Oryzias latipes: one gene and its partners. The protein of the gene in region 1 purifies or fractionates together with the protein of each later gene. This does not show direct contact. Links are inferred from orthologs where the notes say so. Each region holds a gene or a part of one and is shown on either strand. Other genes may lie near its edges.

Evidence for each region.
Region 2: the proteins of slc31a1 (region 1) and stx7 purify together in Homo sapiens (affinity purification with mass spectrometry; 3 studies listed by BioGRID and IntAct, counting the BioPlex papers as one, with this or other methods). This does not show direct contact. The link is inferred for Oryzias latipes from reciprocal best matches to the Homo sapiens genes SLC31A1 and STX7.
Region 3: the proteins of slc31a1 (region 1) and b3gat3 purify together in Homo sapiens (co-immunoprecipitation; 3 studies listed by BioGRID and IntAct, with this or other methods). This does not show direct contact. The link is inferred for Oryzias latipes from reciprocal best matches to the Homo sapiens genes SLC31A1 and B3GAT3.
Region 4: the proteins of slc31a1 (region 1) and usp32 purify together in Homo sapiens (co-immunoprecipitation; 3 studies listed by BioGRID and IntAct, with this or other methods). This does not show direct contact. The link is inferred for Oryzias latipes from reciprocal best matches to the Homo sapiens genes SLC31A1 and USP32.

What each region holds. Positions count from the first base shown.
Region 1 is NC_019870.2:343,589-348,264, forward strand, and holds the end of slc31a1 (high affinity copper uptake protein 1), read left to right. Parts: intron 1-2,777; coding exon 2,778-2,979; 3' UTR 2,980-3,768; downstream 3,769-4,676. Other genes in the region: capsl (calcyphosin-like protein), read left to right, coding at 4,296-4,438.
Region 2 is NC_019882.2:21,987,040-21,992,308, reverse strand, and holds the start of stx7 (syntaxin-7), read right to left. Parts: upstream 3,657-5,269; 5' UTR 3,642-3,656; coding exon 3,497-3,641; intron 2,438-3,496; coding exon 2,345-2,437; intron 2,243-2,344; coding exon 2,173-2,242; intron 1,654-2,172; coding exon 1,563-1,653; intron 1,476-1,562; coding exon 1,338-1,475; intron 735-1,337; coding exon 694-734; intron 612-693; coding exon 518-611; intron 449-517; coding exon 376-448; intron 10-375; coding exon 1-9. UniProt on the Homo sapiens protein: May be involved in protein trafficking from the plasma membrane to the early endosome (EE) as well as in homotypic fusion of endocytic organelles. Mediates the endocytic trafficking from early endosomes to late endosomes and lysosomes.
Region 3 is NC_019876.2:12,983,640-12,988,946, reverse strand, and holds the start of b3gat3 (galactosylgalactosylxylosylprotein 3-beta-glucuronosyltransferase 3), read left to right. Parts: upstream 1-1,706; coding exon 1,707-1,788; intron 1,789-3,765; coding exon 3,766-3,949; intron 3,950-4,025; coding exon 4,026-4,209; intron 4,210-4,290; coding exon 4,291-4,452; intron 4,453-4,526; coding exon 4,527-4,613; intron 4,614-5,307. UniProt on the Homo sapiens protein: Glycosaminoglycans biosynthesis. Involved in forming the linkage tetrasaccharide present in heparan sulfate and chondroitin sulfate.
Region 4 is NC_019871.2:30,207,288-30,212,476, reverse strand, and holds the end of usp32 (ubiquitin carboxyl-terminal hydrolase 32), read right to left. Parts: intron 4,970-5,189; coding exon 4,539-4,969; intron 4,457-4,538; coding exon 4,364-4,456; intron 3,178-4,363; coding exon 3,004-3,177; 3' UTR 795-3,003; downstream 1-794. UniProt on the Homo sapiens protein: Deubiquitinase that can remove conjugated ubiquitin from target proteins, such as RAB7A and LAMTOR1.

The DNA of each region.
Region 1 (4,676 bases):
GCTAGTGAGACCTGACACGCTAACGGTACCTGACACGCTAACGGTACCTGACACGCTAACGGTACCTGACACGCTAACGGTACCTGACACGTTAACGGTACCTGACAGGCTAGTGAGACCTGACACACTAACGGGACCTGACACGCTAGTGAGACCTGACACGCTAACGGTACCTGACACGCTAGTGAGACCTGACACGCTAACGGTACCTGACACGCTAACGGGACCTGACACGCTAGTGAGACCTGACACGCTAGTGAGACCTGACACGCTAGTGAGACCTGACACGCTAGTGAGACCTGACACGCTAGTGAGACCTGACACGCTAACGGTACCTGACACGCTAACGGTACCTGACACGCTAACGGTACCTGACACGCTAACGGTACCTGACACACTAACGGTACCTGACACGCTAGTGAGACCTGACACGCTAACGGTACCTGACACGCTAACAGTACCTGACACACTAGTGAGACCTGACACGCTAACGGTACCTGACACACTAGTGAGACCTGACACGCTAGTGAGACCTGACACGCTAGTGAGACCTGACACGCTAGTGAGACCTGACACGCTAACGGTACCTGACACGCTAACGGTACCTGACACGCTAACGGTACCTGACACGCTAACGGTACCTGACACGCTAACGGTACCTGACACACTAACGGTACCTGACACGCTAGTGAGACCTGACACGCTAACGGTACCTGACACGCTAACAGTACCTGACACACTAGTGAGACCTGACACGCTAACGGTACCTGACACGCTAACAGTACCTGACACACTAGTGAGACCTGACACGCTAAAGGCCCGTACACACCGGGACGAATATTCGCCAGGCGTTATTCGCCAGTGTTTTTCAACACGCTGTTTGTGTTCACACCCAGGCGATTTTCGCTGACGGTTAGCCGAGCGAACATGCAATTTCATTCCCTGACATTAGATGGCGCTTAATGTAAACAGAAATACTCCTGTACACAAGGTGGCGCTGCGCAACTTAACGCTTCTTAAAGTCGCTTTTCACTCAGAAGAAGAGAGCAAGTATTTACGCGCTTGTCAGAATCATACAAAGAAAACATGAATATTTCAAGCATCAGTAGCTCCAACTGGTGCTTTGTTCGGGGATATTTTAGAATGTCCGTCATTATTTCTTCGCGGCAGTGTAGACGCTACTTGGCGTCTATCTTCTTCGCTGGTATGTGTGCTCAGCAAGGCAGTTTTGTGTTTGAGCGCCCCCAAGTTGTGTTTTACTGTAACTTCAGAAGCTCCAGACACGTGTGCAAAAGCGCCATTCTCATCGGTCGAATAGATTTCGACGCGACGCGTCGAAAAAAAAAACGAACCCGAGGCGTTTTTTTTTTTGACGCTTTAGCGCGTGGCGTTTTTTCGCCTCGGTGTGCACACTCTCATTGGTGCCCTTTGTTTAGTCACGAAGCGTTAAACGTCGGCGAAAATCGCCGGCGAAATTCGTCCCGGTGTGAACAGGCCTTAACGGTACCTGACATGCTAGTAATACCTGAAACGCTAACGGTACATGATACGCCAGTGAGACCTGACACGCTAACAGTACATGACACGCTAGTGAGACCTGACACGCTAACGGTACCTGACACGCTAGTGAGACCTGACACGCTAACGGTACATGATACGCCAGAGAGACCTGACACGCTAACAGTACATGAAACGCTAGTGAGACCTGACACGCTAACGGTACCTGACACAATAACTATTACTGACACGCTACTGATGCATGACACACTAACGGGATCTGACACGCTAGTGAGACCTGACACGCTAACGGTACCTGACACGCTAGTGAGACCTGACACGCTAACGGTACCTGACACGCTAGTGAGACCTGACACGCTAACGGTACCTGACACGCTAGTGACACCTGACACGCTAAAGGTTCCTGACACGCTAACGGTACCTGACACGCTAGTGAGACCTGACACGCTAACAGTACATGATACGCCAGTGAGACCTGACACGCTAACAGTACATGACACGCTAGTGAGACCTGACACGCTAACGGTACCTGACACGCTAGTGAGACCTGACACGCTAACGGTACATGATACGCCAGAGAGACCTGACACGCTAACAGTACATGAAACGCTAGTGAGACCTGACACGCTAACGGTACCTGACACAATAACTATTACTGACACGCTACTGATGCATGACACACTAACGGGATCTGACACGCTAGTGAGACCTGACACGCTAACGGTACCTGACACGCTAGTGAGACCTGACACGCTAACGGTACCTGGCACGCTAGTGAGACCTGACACGCTAACGGTACCTGACACGCTAACGGTACCTGACACGCTAGTGAGACCTGACACGCTAACAGTACCTGCTACACTAACGGGACCTGACACGCTAGTGAGACCTGACACGCTAACGGTACCTGACACGCTAGTGAGACCTGACACGCTAACGGTACATGATACGCCAGAGAGACCTGACACGCTAACAGTACATGAAACGCTAGTGAGACCTGACACGCTAACGGTACCTGACACGCTAACGGGACCTGACCCGTTAACGGTACCTGACACGCTAACGGTACCTGACACGCTAACAGTACATGACATGCTAGTGAGACCTGACACGCTAACGGTACCTGACACAATAACTATATCTGACACGGTACTGATGCATGACACACCAACGGGACCTGACACGCTAGTGAGACCTGACATGATTGCAATACCTGACACCCTAGCTGTACCTGACATGCTAACCTCTCTCTTTCTCAGGCAGCGGATGTTAAGCTCCGCCCACTTCCTACAGACGCTGCTGCACATCATCCAGGTGGTGATCAGCTACTTCCTGATGCTCATCTTTATGACCTACAATGGTTACCTCTGCATCGCTGTGGCAGCTGGCGCCGGCATGGGCTATTTCCTGTTCAGCTGGCGAAAGGCTGTGGTGGTCGACATTACGGAGCATTGTCATTAGCCACAATGCTAGTTAACCTCACAACTCTAACACCTGTTAGCTGTTTGCTAGCAGGAATACCAAGTAATTAGCAGTAAAAGACGTATAATCACAGATGTTAACGCGGTGGGAATGTCGCGCCGCCTGTCGGCTGGAAAACCCAAAACGTTAGTCTTGCGGTGAACCTTTGAAGTTAGACAAGCCGGCCAATGGGAGGGCAGAATCTTATCAGCCAAACATCTTCTTTCCTTTAGTGCCATGACCACATTGGTTAGCGTAGCTCCTCCCCCTCAGTATAACCAACCAGGAACCTCATGTGGGTATCGGTTTGACAGACGACCTGGAACCAGCACAGACTTGTTTTGTTTGATTTCCTGTTTACACTTTCTTTGTCGACATGACAAATTGTGTCTTTATTTAAATGTACACACAGATTCTCATGATTATTCTTGTTTCCTGTGTCTGTGGAAGAATCGACCAATCAGAGCGCAGCCATGTGATCATCCTGTACAGCTCTCAGGTAACCGACTCTGAGCATCAACGATGTTGATCGCTCGCCGCCATGGGCCTTAAATCCTCCGTCTGCTGCCTTACTCAGCAGCCATCCGCTGTTGTCATGGAGATGGAAACCCCGCCTCTGCTCTAGCCATGTACACTGAGGTGGGCGGGCTTTATCTTTTGGACCAATGACGGCGCACAGACAGTTTGATGAAGGGCATGTGACCTCCTGTGATTGTTGTGAAGGTTTTATCAAAGTGTTTTATGCCAACATGCTGGAATTATAACAGAATAAAGTTCTTGTGTTCTGGTTCTGGACTCCTTTCATGACATCAGTGAACTTCTAGGTGTGAGGTCAAGGCCACCCCCCACCCCCCCACCCCCGTATCATAAGGCCTTTCCTGTGGCGGACGCCTGGTTGATGTCATTTCTTCTGTCATGACGTCATCCTGGGGTCTGCTCCTCCTAAAAGCGGTTTTCCAGGTCTTTCCTTGTGTTGTCTGCATGTCCAGGTCGGCAGGAGGAGACCGGAAGTAAATATTAATAATAAAAATCACTTAAGGAACCAAACCGACCCTTGACGTTCAAACCCTCCGGTCCGGTTCTGACCCGCCTCTCTGCTGCCCCCTTAGTTCAGGTTCAATGATGTTCCCCATAACGCTGCTGGTTTCTGTTCTCCAAGGGTGGATGGTTCTGGTTCTGGTTCTGGATTATCTTCACTGAACCCGACATGTCACAGAACATAAAGGCTTAGAACCCAGCGGTGCAGATCCACGTTGATCCGAGGAGACGGAACCAGACGGACAGAACATCGGCCCGGTTCTTTGGGAAAAGTTCGGATGTGTTCTGTTCGAACGTGGATAACACGTGACTGCGTGACAGAGCCGCTGGTAGGGCCGTTGGTCTCCATGGCAACCGAGGATTGTTTACGGAGTGGCCACGCCGCAGAGACGCCTGGATTACCGGAAAAAACCTTCTACAGGTGAGACCCCCCCACCCCCGCCCCCCGCGCGCGCAGATGAGTTTTTAAACGAGTCTGGTTCTAGCAAATCCGGTTCTGCTTTCACTGGTTCCGCTGCGGGTCGATGTTGAACCAGAAGGAAAAGCCGAGAAAAAAACAAAAACTACAGCGAAAAACCGACAAACGGCCGTAAAGAAAATGTTTCAAACCAAATGATTCATCGTGAACAGAAATATATATATATATACTATGGTCACCA
Region 2 (5,269 bases), on another chromosome or scaffold:
CTATACTGTCTGTAAAACAAACAAAGCAGAGGTTCATTTTCTTCTGTAAAGCAAGACTTCAGCAGAAGTTGGACTGGACAACAAACCAGCTTTTCTGTTGTCTCAATCGATGTGTGTGTGATTCTTTAAAATGGGTAGACTTTATCATCTCCATGCTTTCCCACCAGCAGCTGATCTGACCTGTGTGGCCGCTGTGAGCTGTGCATTTATAACATTTGGAGGATCAGGAGAAAGTCTTTCTCCCTGACAACGAGGTGGAAACATGGCTGCAATTAACAAAACTGCAATGAGCAAAGCCCAGCGCGCTCCTCTGGACGGAGGGGGAGATGTGCCTCGATGCAGCTGCATGTGGAACTGAAGGTAGCTGGCGCTCACCTATCATGTCCCCCTGCTCGTGCACCATCATGCCAAGGTCCTTAAAGATGTCATTGATGTCTGTGATGTCCGCCTAGAGAGCACAGAGAGATGAGCAGGAGCTTTAGAATGACCCTCACCACAAACACAGGGGGCTGCTGACCTCCAGCTGCCTGATGGATGACTCTCGCTCCTGGATCAGCCTCAGGTCTTCTTCTGTGATGGCTTCAGCCTCCGTCTGGACCTGGGAGTAACTGCAGATACAAGCACACCACATGGCTTCAATAGTGCAGCCACGACAGAGGCGAGGAGAAGAACCTTCATAGACAGCCAGCTCACCTTGGAGGAAGATGTCCGAAGCCGTCATCAGGCTGACCTCCCTGCTCGAGACAATTTACAGGCAACTTAAAACATCTTCAGCTGTGGAGGACCTGAACCTCTAAGTCCAGCCGCGAAACTACTGAGAAGTTCCTGTTTCTGTGAGGACCGTATCCACAACAAGGACAATGCCTGTTCTTACTTTATGGAGATGTTTGAATGCCAGCAAGAACCACAACCATCAATGAATCAACATAAAGAGATCTGCCCCCCAACCAGCGGAAGGCTCATGCTGGGTCTGGAACAGGCTGGGACAGGTGCATCTGCTCACCTGACCATCTGAAACATTTCCTCACAGCGCTCACACTCACCCACTCCATCCTGAACACGCCTATAAACCCAGACACACTGTCACTGGAAGAAGCTTTTCTCATTTCCTCAGCTGGAGGGTTTCATCTGAATAACCTGTCTACGTCTGAACGTTCAGCCAAACTCTGAGCAGATGGTACATTATGGCCCAGAACAGCTGAAACCGGGAAACCATGGCAGTGTTGTTCAGAAAGAACCCGGATGGTCCTGGTTGTGGAACGTGTGAGTATGAGGTGAGCGTGCACGGAAAGCTCTCGCTCACAGCACTCCCAGAAATGACGAAGGCGAATACGAACCGACAGCCTGGAGCCAGCTCGGACTCGGGCCACGAACTCCCGCTCCTTGTCGGCGGCCTGCCGTTGGGTCTTCTGGAAACTGTTCAACGCAGCAGAGAAGTCATTGAGCAAACGCTCCTTCTGCAGCTTCCTCTGCCTCTGAAAACACAAACACAGCTGATCAATTCCCACAAACTCCTGACCGGGTTCGATGTGATCGGTGCGTGGGACGAAGGGGCCTCGTACCTGATCGGGACCGACGGGGAGGGCGGTGAAGGCCTTGATCAGCTGGTCGGTCTCCTTGGCCAGCTGGTTCCCCTGCTGCTGTTTCTGCTGACTGAGAACCAGAGGGAAGCATCTGTGAAACGTTTCACTCGAGGAAACAGAAATCTTACAAATCCATTACTCCTGACGTGGAAAATGCTCGGGTTTCAGGAGCTAGCTGAGTACAGAGTAAAAAAAAACTATTCTAAAGGTTGAAAACTACTTTTTGAACCTTAAACCCACTGAATGGAACTGTTTTAAAACAGGGACAAATGATCCCATTCAAGTAAAACACTGTTATAAGAATAGAACTTACTTTAGTAACAACCTGCATCTCCAATGTGTGTATATGAACATGTATGTGTTTAGAACATCTTTTTAAAGTTATCTTTCTGTTTTGATGAATGAATTAGATGCTAAAATAATAAAGACAGTCTGCTTCCTGCCATTCAGGAGTCTTTACAAATGAACTGACTGAAGGAACAAGGGAAACGTATGTGTGTGTGTGCATGGTGACCGTCCACAGACAGGCCGGCTGTCGGTTTGAACTCATTTGGCTGCATGTGTGATCAAGCAGGCGGTCAGAACTCACAGCGTCTGTCTGAGCTGGCTGCTGTCCTGCTCCGTCCCCAGCAGGGTCACGGCCCTCTGCAGCTCTGAGGCTGGAACACAGATCCATGAGTGAGGATGCTGGGGGTCCAGTGGGGTTCAGCATGTGCACAGGTCTGTGTGGGTGTGTGTGTGTGTGTGTGTGTGTGCATTACTCAGTAGTGTGATCCTCTGGATGTTGGAGCTGATGTTCTGAACCAAAGCGGCGGGCTCCCGTTGAATCCCAGCCTGGTAGGCCATGATGAGAGCTGAGTTCACACAGAAAGACACATTTATGTCTTGCTTTCATACAAACTGCATGTTTAACCTTTAAAGTCCCCCAACCATCATCTTATGATCTATTGTCAAAGTGTTCCCAGCGGTCTTTTCACTACGATTCTGCTGTTTTTAGACTAAATCAGAAAACGTTGTCGTTTTCTAGGACATAGTTTCTGCGGACTGGGAGTAATTCATTAGAAATTCCCCTCTAAGGTGTGGGCGGGACTGTTGGCGAAAAGCACAACACCCCCCCTTCCCGTCATCCATCTTTTTACAACTCTCCCCTGCTAGCTTACAGCCCCTCACAACCTCAAGCTAATATTAGTGATGCAACAAAAATGGTGATCAACATCAGATCTATCATCCGTCCAGTTCTGATCCAGATTCCAGGTCAGACCAGGAAGACAAAGACGTTCACGGATCTGTTTGTCTGACAGATCAGAATAGAGCAGAGCAGGGAGCTGGTGACCTGCTGATTGTAGTTTACGTAACAACTAAGAGGTTTTTCAAACAGCATTTTTTCTTCTGCTCCTGATTCACAACGATTTGAAGAAAGAAATACTCAGAAATGCAGTTTTAAGCTTGATTTTCTATATATATGTATGTCCTCCATCATTAGAAAATGCTACAAGAACATGTAAAAACACCACAAACACCATTTTCATTGGAGTAGGTTTTTAACTAGCAGGACGGGTGCTGGCAAAACCCAAACCCAAAACTGTTGTCAATCAGGAGCAGACAAAAAAAGACTGTGATGAAGACTAGTGATGTAGAAAATACTCTGGCCAGGCCAAAGTGTCCCTGCCCTGCTCCATTCTGATGCCCCCACCTGCAGACAAATAGATCCATGGACAGCTCCAATATTGAGCAGCATTCTTGTGGTGCCGCTAAAGCTATGGATGACGGGAAGTGAAGGTGGGCTTACTCTGTACCAACAGGATCAGGAGGGAAAACTACACCATCATCAGCGTTTGTCTGACATAAGCATCAACAGTCTGAGGTCAAACCAACGTTTTGATAACAAATGGAGATGATGGAAACTTCCTCACAGCTTTGAGTGATGGAGGCAGTGAAAACACAAAGAAGGAAAGTTGCTTTTCCTCTCAGAACAAATCCTGAAACTCTGAAACGCTGAAGGTCAGAACCAAAGAGCTGCTGCAGCAAACACCAGCCCAGCTGACCCCTGACCCCCATCCATGCTGGACCAACGTGGGCTCATGCCCAGTCTGCTCTGATCGGGGGCCAGTTGGGGGGGGGGGGGGGGGGCGTTGACGCGGGTCAGGCAGTTGCTCACGCGCGTTTCCGGGACCAGCGGCGCTCCAGCGTCTGCTATGATGACGCGTTTTTAGGACCCCGTCAAGACCCCCTCCGCCGTGCGTTACGGGGCAGCCTGCCGCCTGCAGCGGTCGGTCGGTGGGGCTGCAGTCTTTCCAGCAGCCGCAAATGCGGAAATCAGAGGACTTTCTCGGAACACCACGGTCTGTGTCCTTCCGTGACGGCTGCTCTCTCCCGGAGTTTCTGTTTATAAAACCCCGAACTTTAAGCGTCAACGTGACGTTTAGCTCATGAAACTACCGGTCTCTACACAACTGCCCCCCCACCCGCCCCCAGCCCGGTTCGGGACATCTCGCCGTTTGTCCTCAGAAAGTGAAGCGCTCCGAAACCCGCGGTAGGATTTTGGATCGAGACCAAAACCTGCTCTAGAACGGTTCGGTTCGTTTCTGGGATCGTTTGGACTTTACCTGCGCTGAGACTTGGAGCTGCGCCGTTTCCTGACTCGCAGCCACTCCCCGGTCACATGACGCGCACGGCCCGGCCCCGCTGGAGCCAAGAGCCGCAGGAGCCGCAGGGGCCAGGGGACACTCCCACCAAAGACTGGAGACAAGGCTTCAGGGTTCTGCTGCGCCCCGGTCCTTTAGGATGGAAACGAGTCAACTCCACAAAAACAAGTCATAACATTAACAATAAAGGACTAAAACATAGTTTCAGCGCGCTGGAGCAAAATGATGTTTATTCAAAAAATATGACAGAGTCTGAAGGCCACATATTTGAGAAGGAGGGGGGAAAGGAGACAGAGGTGGAGGTCTTCCTCATGTTAAGGTTTTCCTCATGTTGAGGTCTTCTTCAGGTGGAGGTCTTCCTCATGTTGAGGTTTTCCTCAGGTGGAGGTCTTCCTCAGGTGGAGGTCTTCCTCATGTTGAGGTTTTCCTCAGGTGGAGGTCTTCCTCAGGTGGAGGTCTTCTTCAGGAGGAGGTATCCCTCAGGTGGAGGTCTTCCTCATGTTGAGGTCTTCTTCAGGAGGAGGTCTTCCTCAGGTGGAGGTCTTCTTCAGGTGGAGGCCTTCCTCAGGTGGAGGTCTTCTTCAGGTGGAGGTCTTCCTCAGGTGGAGGTCCCCTGCAGTTCTCTCCCCTTTGGACCCTTCGTCTCCACTCAGTAGAGGAGTGGAAATCTGGATCACAGACATAGGAGGAAGCAGGACATGAACCTGAAGCGTCGTGGAAGCAGCAGCAGGTCTGTAGGAGGCAGCAGGTGTTTATCCACATATAGAATATATATCTTTGCACTATCTTTTTCCAAACTGGCAGATCAATGACATATTTGTATTCGTCAACAGCAACATGCAACTGTGTTGTATTACAGACTCATTCTTGCTCTGTAGCTGGAATATGTGGAAGGGCGCTCATGAGCTCCCTGTCCTGGCTGGGCTCCAGCCTCGCCCTGCTATTGACAGACACATTTGGCTGCGTAAGTGACCCCTGACCCCTGCAACCTCCTGCTTTGGCTGCTCATCTTCTGCTGCTGAACCTTCAGGGGTGTGAGAT
Region 3 (5,307 bases), on another chromosome or scaffold:
AGACGTTCCCTGTTCTTGCATCTTCAGCGTGCAAAAGTGAAACACAGCCTGCATTTTAAAGATATTTGTTTTTGGTTTTTTTTATTTCAAACCAGTCAGCAACGTCAAGGCTAAAATGACAGACAAGTGATGAAATTGTTTTTCAGTATGACTCTGGACCACAAATTAACAGTTTTTTTTTTTGTGGCACTGAAAAGTCATGTAAACAAATTCCTTTTTTTATTTGCCTTTAGATAATTTTAGTTTCAAATATATGTATTTTTTCCGTTAACTTCCATTCATAACATTAATGCTTCCCTTTTAGTGCACAAAGAGATAATTCGCTAGAAATTTTGCATTGGGAGGGACCTCGGACCATCAATGAACCGTTTGTTTCTCTCAGGTTGATGACATTTGATCAAACCTCATCTTTCTGGGAATAGTTAGCTGTGTTACTTTTTTTTGTTCTTTTTTTTTCCCACGTAAAAACCTTAAATCCACCTGGAATTCTTGCATTTTTAGTAAAAACCTGTTAATTGTAGCTTATTCAGTCCCTTCCAAATGTGACGCTGCATGAATTTCCCTTGAACCTGAGCCACAGGGCTGCAGTCAATCCAGGCAGGTGTGCCGTTTCTGTTTTTTAACCTCTAAAAGCTCACAAGCTTTAAAAAGGATTTAGTGAAAGTATAGGTTAAAAGTGAGCTTACATTTTTTTTAAATAAAGTTTGTTTTAGAAAAAAACATTGATAATCCTCTCAACTTTCAAGATTTCTTTTTTTTCTCTGTATATAAATATGTATATGTATAAATATAAAGTGTTGTGGCTCCATCCTCTCTTTTTCTTGGCCTTTTACAGGTTCAGATCTCTGAAGATTGTGTTGAATCATAGAAAACTACATATTTGAGAGTGAGTGTTACAGTCTTGTCAGCGACAATAAAAGGGAAAGTCGTTCTGCCTTGTCAGTGTTTTATTTGTATGTTGCAAATAAAGGAAACTTCTTTGACTTTATAGAATTTGCATTTTCTTTGTGGTTTTTTACATTTACATTAATATTTTCTTTTTAAAACACGTGTGAAAAATGTGGTTAATGTAGAATGATGAGCTCAAACAAAGAAACCATTGTTTCCCAATTTAAATGGGATTTTCAGATTAGTGTTGGGTCTAAAGTGGTTTTAAAGACCAAACTACGCTTTGTTGATTCAAAAAGTCAGACTGGTGTAGAATCTTGGTTCTAAATTCAACTGGAAAATGTGTCCAGGTCCGCGGAACTATTAGCAAATGTTTCAAGTGGGACTCGTTTTCGTGTTGCGCTGATTCCGGAAGTAGCTGTTGCAGGCGCTGCGGAGATGTCACAGCGCAGTAAATGAATGGATGCTGCGCTCGAAGCTCCAACGGGTCCATCTCTGTCCCTCCAGGATGACATGAGACGTCGCGGTCGTCGCTCCTCGTCGCCTTAAGTCCCGCCTCCCGCCGTTTCCGCTGCTGGTAGGATCAGACGGAAGGCGCCGGGTTAACTTGGCCTGCTTTGTCATCCAGTTATTTAGCATTCGACCTTTTCTTTTTGCTCGTAAAAGTCACCCTGAGATTTTTACAAGTCAGAAAAACACTCTGGTATTTTTAATTGTTACTACACTGAGCATTTAAAAGCAAAGTGATATTTGTAATGGGTTCCGTGTGTATGTTTTAAACATTCTCATTTCAGGATACCATAACCATGGCAACAAGGATGAAGCTGAAGCTGAAGACAGTGTTTGTGATGTACTTCATGGTCTCCCTGATGGGTCTCATCTATGCTCTTATGCAGCTTGGTGAGTGATGCATTCTCATCTTTCTGTGTCCCGTTTAGAGCAAAAATATCAACACCTCGTTACATTCCTATAATAAAGTATTTGTACGGGAGAAATGAATGGTTTAAACATATAAAAAACTAATTAGAGTACTGGCAAAACACTGAATATAGAATATTCATTTTTTCACATTCCCTTTCTAAAACTATTTTTTAAATAAAACCAGAATTCAAGCAGCTACTAATAGTGACACCAGTTCCCATATACCAGGCATGTCCAAAGTCCGGCCTGTGGGCCAAATGCGATCTGCATTCATATTTCTCCTGACCCACAGACTCCTTTCATAAGTCAATAATATGTGACCCCCAGCCTTTTCTACTAACTGTGCATGATTTCTTGATAGATTTTTAAGCTGTTGTAAACCTGTGGCAACTCTGTTGTGCAACTCTTCTGTCGCACATGTTTTTTTTTTGTTGAAAGAAAAATAATCGTTACCAATCACATTTATATGTGTACTAAATAAATAGTACTAGATAGTTCTAAATAAATAGGTTTTAGAATTTGCGACTGTACCGTCTTTCTGTTAAAGTTCATTAGTTTTCATACAAGGCAAATCAAAAGACACCCCTAATATTGCTAAAAACCCAATGGGAAGAGGATTTAGGCTTAAATATCACTGAGAAAGCCCTAGACAGAATATACTCTTCCTCAATTTGCTCACGTCACAGGATTACTCAATTTAAAATTGTACATAGACTCCATTGATCTAAAGCAAAACTTACAAAATTCATTCCAGATATTTATCCAATTTGTGATCGATGTAAACAATCAACGGCCACCAACTCTCATATGTTTTGGTCCTGTGTAAAATTAAGTTGCTTTTGCCATTCAATATTTAAAGTATTTTTAAGATGTTTTACAAAGGCCTATAAAACCTTCTGTAATTTCTGCAATATTTAGCGTAATCCCACAGGATCTTAATCTCAACCACAAAGCACAAAACATAATTATCTTTGGGACCTGAATTGCTAGGAAACCTATTCTTCTCAATTGGAAGGATCATTTTCCTCCAACTTTAAAGATGTGGATAAATGATCTCTTACATGGTTTGGTTTTGGAGAAAATTCGCTTCTCTGCTAGGGGGTTGTACACAAGATTTTTTTACCACTTGGAATCCCTTCTTAAATTATATAAAGGACTTAGATGTCTCTGCTGTTAGAATACTTAATGATTGACTTTATTTTGGAAATGTGCAATTGAGAGGTTTACTTCTTTTGAAAATGTATATTTTACAAAATATTTGTAGTATGAAAGAGTGGTGCAGTAAAGGGGAGGGCATGTGGGGATATGTCATACAAACTTAATCCTTGTACCCTCTGTTTAAATTTGAAATACCAATTAAAAAGACGGTGTAAAAAGGTTCAGTAGTTTTAGAAAATCTCTTCCAAAATTGACGTTCCATCTACGTCTCATAAAAATTACAAATTTATCCCAGGAACAGGTAGAGAGGCGGGGGGCGGGCCTTAGACTCACCGCTTATGATTCCAGACCATCAACAAACCAACAGCTGCTTCCTAATAAAACATAGTTGTCATCCATAAAATTATTATAGTTTATTGGGTTTACTGGATTTAAAGAAAAAGAAAAAATAGAAACGAGTCTGCATCAAAGTGAATTTGTTACGACAGACGGAAAAGTCTATTCAGGGTTGTGGGAAATGGACAAAAGATCAAAGGAAACATCACGCTCATAAAGAATAAAAATAATTAAAATAAATAATTAAATAACTATCCTGACAGTATTTTGAATCAATACAAGTACTAAATGATATGATATGTCGGCAAAAGCATTTTTTCTAACACACCTAGTGTTGCGGCTCCCTGTGCTTTCATCTCAGTGGGAAGCGGATCCAAATGGCTCTTTGAGAGGTCCAGGTTGCCGACCTCTGGGCTACGGTATGAAAATGTATCAGAACCTTTCGTCCTCTGTGTTGAGCAGGTCAGCGCTGCGATTGCACAGAACACATCATGGTGAAAGATCGCACCATATCCCGCCTGCAGGAGGAGCTTCACCACCTGAAAGATGTCATAAAGAATTCGGAGGCGACCAAACTACCCCCGAAGCAGCCAGCCAGAGGCCCCCCGCCCACCACCATCTTCGTCATCACTCCCACATATGCCAGGTAAGCCCCGCCTTTCCTGGTGTTTCGTGTCTTCAGCTAGCTCTGGGCTCTAGCGGCTCCTCTGATCTTATTGTAGGCTGGTGCAGAAAGCAGAGCTGACCCGCCTGTCGCAGACTTTCCTCCACGTCCCTCAGCTCCACTGGATCGTGGTGGAGGACTCGCCCCAGAAGACTCCTCTGGTCACCGATCTTCTGAAGAAGAGCGGCTTGGTCTACACCCACCTGCACGTGCCAACCGCCAAGGACCACAAACTCCAGGAGGTATAGGGCTGATCCTGTTTTCTCCAGGTCTTCAGGTTTGTTTCAGGTCCTACTCCTGTTTTGTTTTTGTTTTTCGGACAGGGAGACCCCAGCTGGCTGAAGCCCCGTGGCGTGCAGCAAAGAAATGAGGGGCTGCGGTGGCTGCGAGAGGACAGACGGGCTGAGGCGGGAGGGGACAACCTGCAGGGGGTGGTGTATTTTGCTGACGACGACAACACATACAGTCTGCAGGTGTTTGAAGAGGTGAGAAATGAGATGTTTAGCTGTTTCCAGAAACAGAAACTTGAAGGTTTGAGATTTTTCTGGTTTTGACTCAGATGAGGAGCACCCAGCGGGTGTCAGTCTGGCCGGTGGGGCTGGTTGGTGGGATGAAATACGAGAGGCCCGTGGTCGAAGGAGGAAAGGTACATTCACAAAAACAGTATTTTGGGCCTAAAGGTTCTTGTATTTTTGCAACTACTCACTGATTCCTTAACCCTTTAACACCGGAGATGTAGCCGGCAGAACCTGAATAACACACGCTCTTTGACATACCATAAATCTTCGACTGTTTACATCAGGGTTCTGCAACCTTGAATAATAATAGGAGCCATTTGGGTCTGTTTCTTACTGATCAAAACCTAGTAGGAGCCGCCCCTTTTAAAAAATGTCAGACTGCTTTGCTTGACGTTTCTCTTTTGGTATAAATAAATCAGATATATACAAAGAAAAAGCCTTTTCTCTAAATGTGAAATTGCGCTTTTACTGTTGAAGCGCGTATGACTTCCTTTCAAAATAAAAGACATCCTGTGCTACACAGGATCGTCCCATTGAAGTTAGCGTGCTCCCATGAAAAGGTTTTAAAGTCAAACATGGCATTTTTTCTTGTTATTTCTTAAATCTACTGCTGTTAACTTAAACATGAACATGACTTTATTGGTTTATGATTCAATAGAAATAGTGTAAAAATAATAGATTAACTCCCTTCTGTGTAGCTAGTAAATATTGTAGCGCAACGTAAAATGTGATCTTTAAACTCATAACATAAAAAGACCAATCGGACAAGATCAACTATGTTACTTAAGTTCTGTGCAAAATGGTAGATCACACAAGATCTCT
Region 4 (5,189 bases), on another chromosome or scaffold:
AAATAAAATCATTAAAGGGCCTTTACCATGCAAGGGCAACCTTTTTTAAGCTTTATTATAATGTTCATTCCTAAGTGGTATTTTCAACTAATCACGCATATCTGAGCATTCCTCCAAAAACCTGCTATCTGAGCACCAGCCCCTCCCAACCCACGAAAACAAGTGGGTTCTCACATTGTGACATCACAAAGTGAAGAAAAGCCCCTTCCAGGCAGCACCCACCCAAGGCAAATACACACACTTTCTCCATGGAGCTAAACGCTTTCATTTTTTGTGCACATCCATCTTTGCAAAAGTTTGGATTTTGGTCTTTGTGGGCGAAACGCAGACCCACTGCAGAGGCCTCAAATGACTGATAGAAAATGTTTTTTGATATCAGAAAACACTTTTCATTTAAAACTTCTCATATTAAAGGTCAGGTAAGGGAGAGGAGTATTAATGGTGTGGGCTCTATTATCAGCAACAGGATCCATATAATTTACTGGGTTCTTATTATGAAAACTTAGATCATTTATTTAAAAAAAATTATGTTTTTGGTCAAAAATGGTTGAAATGCAAAGCATTGTTGTCTATTTTTGCTAATCTAGTGAGCATCAATGCCCACCAGTTATTTACAGGGACTTCTGGGAAACTTCTAGGCCAATGGATTTGGAATTGTAGATTTGAAAGCTCTATAAATTGGCAAACGCCCTTTATAATGCACTAAGTAGTGAGTAGTAAAAGAATTTGTACACATTTTCAACCTTTGAAAAAAAGAAACAAAGACCCGGCAGTCTTAAAAAAGCAAAAACTGCTCTCTGTTTCCTCTGCAGATTTTAATTTGTTGCTTGGGTATTTTGTTACAGATCAACAATATCACTCCATATACAACTACAATTACAGTATTTGTACACTTTGTATTCAAATACATAGTTTTCGTTGGCTTATTTACAGAACACATTTATGTACATGTTTTCATGTCAGTGCAATGTCACTTTCTGTCAACAAACAACTTACAAAAATCTTCTTTAAATTAACACATCAGGTTAAGATCCAACATTAATGAACTTAAATAAGAAGAGGCTACAAACACTGACAGTCAGCTCAGTAGTAGATTGCACTGCCTGTCCACTTGTTTTTCAGGGGCGGGGCTTTGAGGGAGGGGCGGGGTCAGTAGCGCGGAGCTGCAGATCATGGACTTGCACTGGGTCAGTCACATACAAAAGTCATCATGTATTGCACCTTTAACTGCAGCCAATGTTTTAAAAGAAGTTCTGTAGAGACAAATCCTCCTCTGACTTCTAAAGACGACACGAACGGCTCTGCAGCTCAGACCTGCAGGAAGAAGACGGAGAGCTGGGCAGAAAAACCACTCATTTGTTCAACAAATGGATCAGCCTAAAGAAAGTTTCTTTAGTCACAGATTTCTTTCCTCCTCACAGCAACGCTGCTGTTGGCAGGTGGGAGGAGTGAGTTAGGAAGCAATGGGACCTCAGGGGGGAGCCCAACTCAAGCAGAGAACAAGCAAATGTAGAGATGCTTTAGAAACAGAGCCAAGTCCTGCATCAACCGAGATGCACCTAAAAACAATCTCAACGAATGGGATCTTTATGGAGAACGAATGGACCCTACAGATGCTGAAATGCATTCTGGCCTTTGGGCTGGCAGTCAATTGAAATGGTTTAGCAGTGGACTTTGTCCTGCGTGCGGCCCGTGACGCTGGGTCTGCTCCTTTATGGACACTTCAACGCCAGGGCAGGAAAATGTGCCAAGTCTGGCTTCAAACTGGTTCATTTCTAGGGTCAGGGGTCAGGGGGTTCTGCAGCTACCATCCATGACACCTGAGGCCTCCTTTTTGTTGCCCTGTTTTTTTTTTTAAAGTCATGCCGTTTTTATGACTTTACAGGACTTTTTTCTGAGGCTCTCACTTTGTTGGATTGAAACATTCAGGGTGTGTCAAGTTAACAGGTGCGTGATACGATAAAAGTCACTTTAAAATCATGTAGGGAGGAAGGACGGAGCCAGGGGAGGGCGTGTGAGGGAGGAGACACATCAGCCTGCTTCAACAACACTGAGACAGCTTCTGAAGCACAGACTGCTTCTTTTCTTTTTTTTACAAAAATAAAAAAAATCTCACAAAACAACAGAACTGCAGAGGGAAAACATTTGCTATCTTAATGTGTGTAGTTTGAAACCATGGCACCGTTCTCAGAGGAAGCTTCCCCGCTGAGTTCTGGCCACGCGCTGGTCCACACGGCACACACAGCCACAGACATTTGGCAGAGCTGGAATCAAACGTGTGTTTGGCAGAAGTGCCTCCTCTTCCCATCAGCATCAGGATGGATGCGCATGACCTGGAAGCGGGGCAAACGTTCCTTTTTGGCGCTCGGGGAGCCTGAAATGTCCTGCCTCTCATAGACGTTAACACTGTTCCAGCCTTTCCTGGGGAAGAAACTGCAGAGAAGCGATGAGGTAGCAGATGACTCGAATTATCTCGACTAAAACTTTTGGAGGAGCATTCCTAAAACGCTGGTCACAGTACGCCCCGCAGACGGGGGGGGTTGGTCCTGGCAGCACATGTGACACCTGCACACACACACTGGAAATGTGGCTTTCCGTTGGGAACTTAAACGCCTCTTCCTCGTCCCGGAGCGCCTCCGCTTCGTCACTGCGTGGCGCGTCAGACTGCCGTACATTCGCAGACGTGCTGGCACATGTTACATGTATGCAATGGAGAGATTCACAACGAGAAGGGGTGGAGCTTGTTTTGCAAGGCTCAACAAAGTGCACCTGTGCAGTGCTGTCGGGGGGGGGGGGGGGGCGGGGCTTCACTGTGGCCTTGGCAAAACCTTCTTGCAAAAACTCGTGTTTCAAAAGTGCTCTCTGAAGGCGCGCAAGCAGCAGGGTCCCGTCTGCAGCACTCAGCAGTTTGTGAGGATGCTCCAGAGGGATCGAACGTGCGGAGCGTCTCGCTCAGAGGGGCGGAGCCGCAGGAAGCGCTGGCTGATGGAAGACGAGCAGGGGTCACTGCAGCACACAGTACTTCTTATAATCGGACTCAAAGTCTTCGTCCATGCTACTGGTGTCGGCCATCTTCTTGCCGTCAGTCTTTGGCAGGAACCGGGAGTAGTCCACTCCCTGCTGCTCGTAGAACAGGATGTAGGCCGAGTCCGTATCGATTTCCTCAGAGTGCACTTCCTGTTGACCACAGAACAGCAGAGTTTCAGAGTCGGATCAGTCAACTGTACTGATCCACGTTGACCTCAAACATCACTTTGGGTCTTTTAATATTGATCAACGCCAAATAATTGGACAAATACTCCAACATTAACTTTGAGCTGCACACCTAACGTTCTGTGTGCGATGGCTGCAGGGTCAACGCTCCGGCAGGTAAACCAACACTGGATCTCCCAGCTCATCCACAGGTAGGGCCAAAACTCAGTTTTTGTCAACTTTTGAAAGTATCTCTGTATTTCCCATTTGAAATGCTATTGCTTGCTTGTCTGGTATCATTTTAATATGCACCACCTCACCTGTGACACTAGCTTCATTTTGTCATTTTTCCATGTTGTCGTCACACACTAGACATGAAACCACAAAAAAAAACAGAACATTCCGTCTGGAACAAAGTGATTAATTTTGCTGTAGGAATGTTCAACAAAGCGTTTTTACAACAGAATGAAAATGTCAGGTGCCATTTCATAAAAATAAGAAGAACAAAAGAACCAAATGGACAGATTTGTTTGTGTCAGATGTCTAAACGGAGGCCACATGGCAGGCCTCATGCTGTGACCTTTCTTACGTTCTTATCCAGACACTTCAGTCTGACTGTGTGGCTTCAGCTTCCAGGCAGCCAAAGAAAATTGAAAGTGTTTTCTGGGTGCTTTGCTGTCCATTTGGCATTTTCCAGGAATTTGGGGGGTTTTGTGCAGCTTTTTTATTTGTTTGTCCTTGTTGCGTTAGTGGCAAAGCATAACAGAAAAACTTTTTTTTTTCCGACCCTGCAGCTGGATTTCAGGTACTCTGCTTGGCTGGAATCTGCTCACAGGTGGAGGCGTGTGTTGCGCCTCCTCTGTGTTCAGGGTGAACTCTCACCTCCCGCAAAGGCGTGGGGCGGGACTTCATCTTCTGCCTTTTTAGTAAAGTACCAGCCGTTGGGAAGGACAACCCGGGGCGTCCGTCGGTTCCAAATGGTTAAAGACCTCCAAATTTTTGAATAGACCTTTTTGTTTAAACGTATCTGATTGGACCAGCACATAAATCTAATTGCCAGGCCACGGCTCTGAACACAACAGACTCTAAGTTCTTCTTTCTTTGTTTCAATTGAATAAAGATTCAAAAGTCTGTGGAAGAGTTGCAGCAGTTCCCTCATCTGCTGACTCACCTTACAGCTGCTGTCGTTGTAGCAGTACCACTTTCTGTTGGGGTTTTTGGCATACGTCACATAGTGGCCGCCTCCCATGATTCCTGAATGGCACTGAGGACAGAGCAGAAGGTCAGTCAGGTTGGTGGGCACCAGGACTCTTCTTCACTGCTGCTGTGACATACGTGTGACCTACTGATATTGCATAGAGGTTGTAGATGGCGTCCAGGCCTGCGCTGTCCCTGTGCGGCAGCAGAGGGCCGTCGGGCTCCATGCTGCTCTCTATGCTGCAGTCAGAGCCCAGCCCGTTCACCAGCATCACGTCACAGTGGCTGCTGGACGCCTCTGTATCACATGACGATTCGGAGCCCGCCTGCTCCCCAGATTCAGGCAAAGCTCCGTCTGCCGGCCCCGCCTCCATGTCCGCCTGCTGTGCGCCGTCTCTGGGCTCGGCTTCTGGATTTGGACTTCCGTCCAAATTCTCCTTGCTGTTGGAGAGCCGGTGTTTGCTGCTGAGCTGGGGTAGCCGTAGCCGGCCTGGTCTGCGGCCACCAGTCTTTGGGCTGCCAGAGGGACTGCTGGTCCGACTGAGAGAAGGGGCCGACCTCCTGCTGGAGGCGGGGGAGGCTGTTGGAAAAGCGCAGTCTTTAGACCAGTGTTTTTCAACCTTTTTGAGCCACGGCACACTTTAACCTTGACAAAAATCCACCAGCATCCAAAAATGAAAAAAAATTAGAAACTCGTAGTCTGTATTGATGTACAGTCCCTCCACAATCTCACATGCATATTTGTGATAATTGTGGCAGAAAAAGCTGGAAGCTGCAGCTGTTTTTTCTAAAGATGTAAT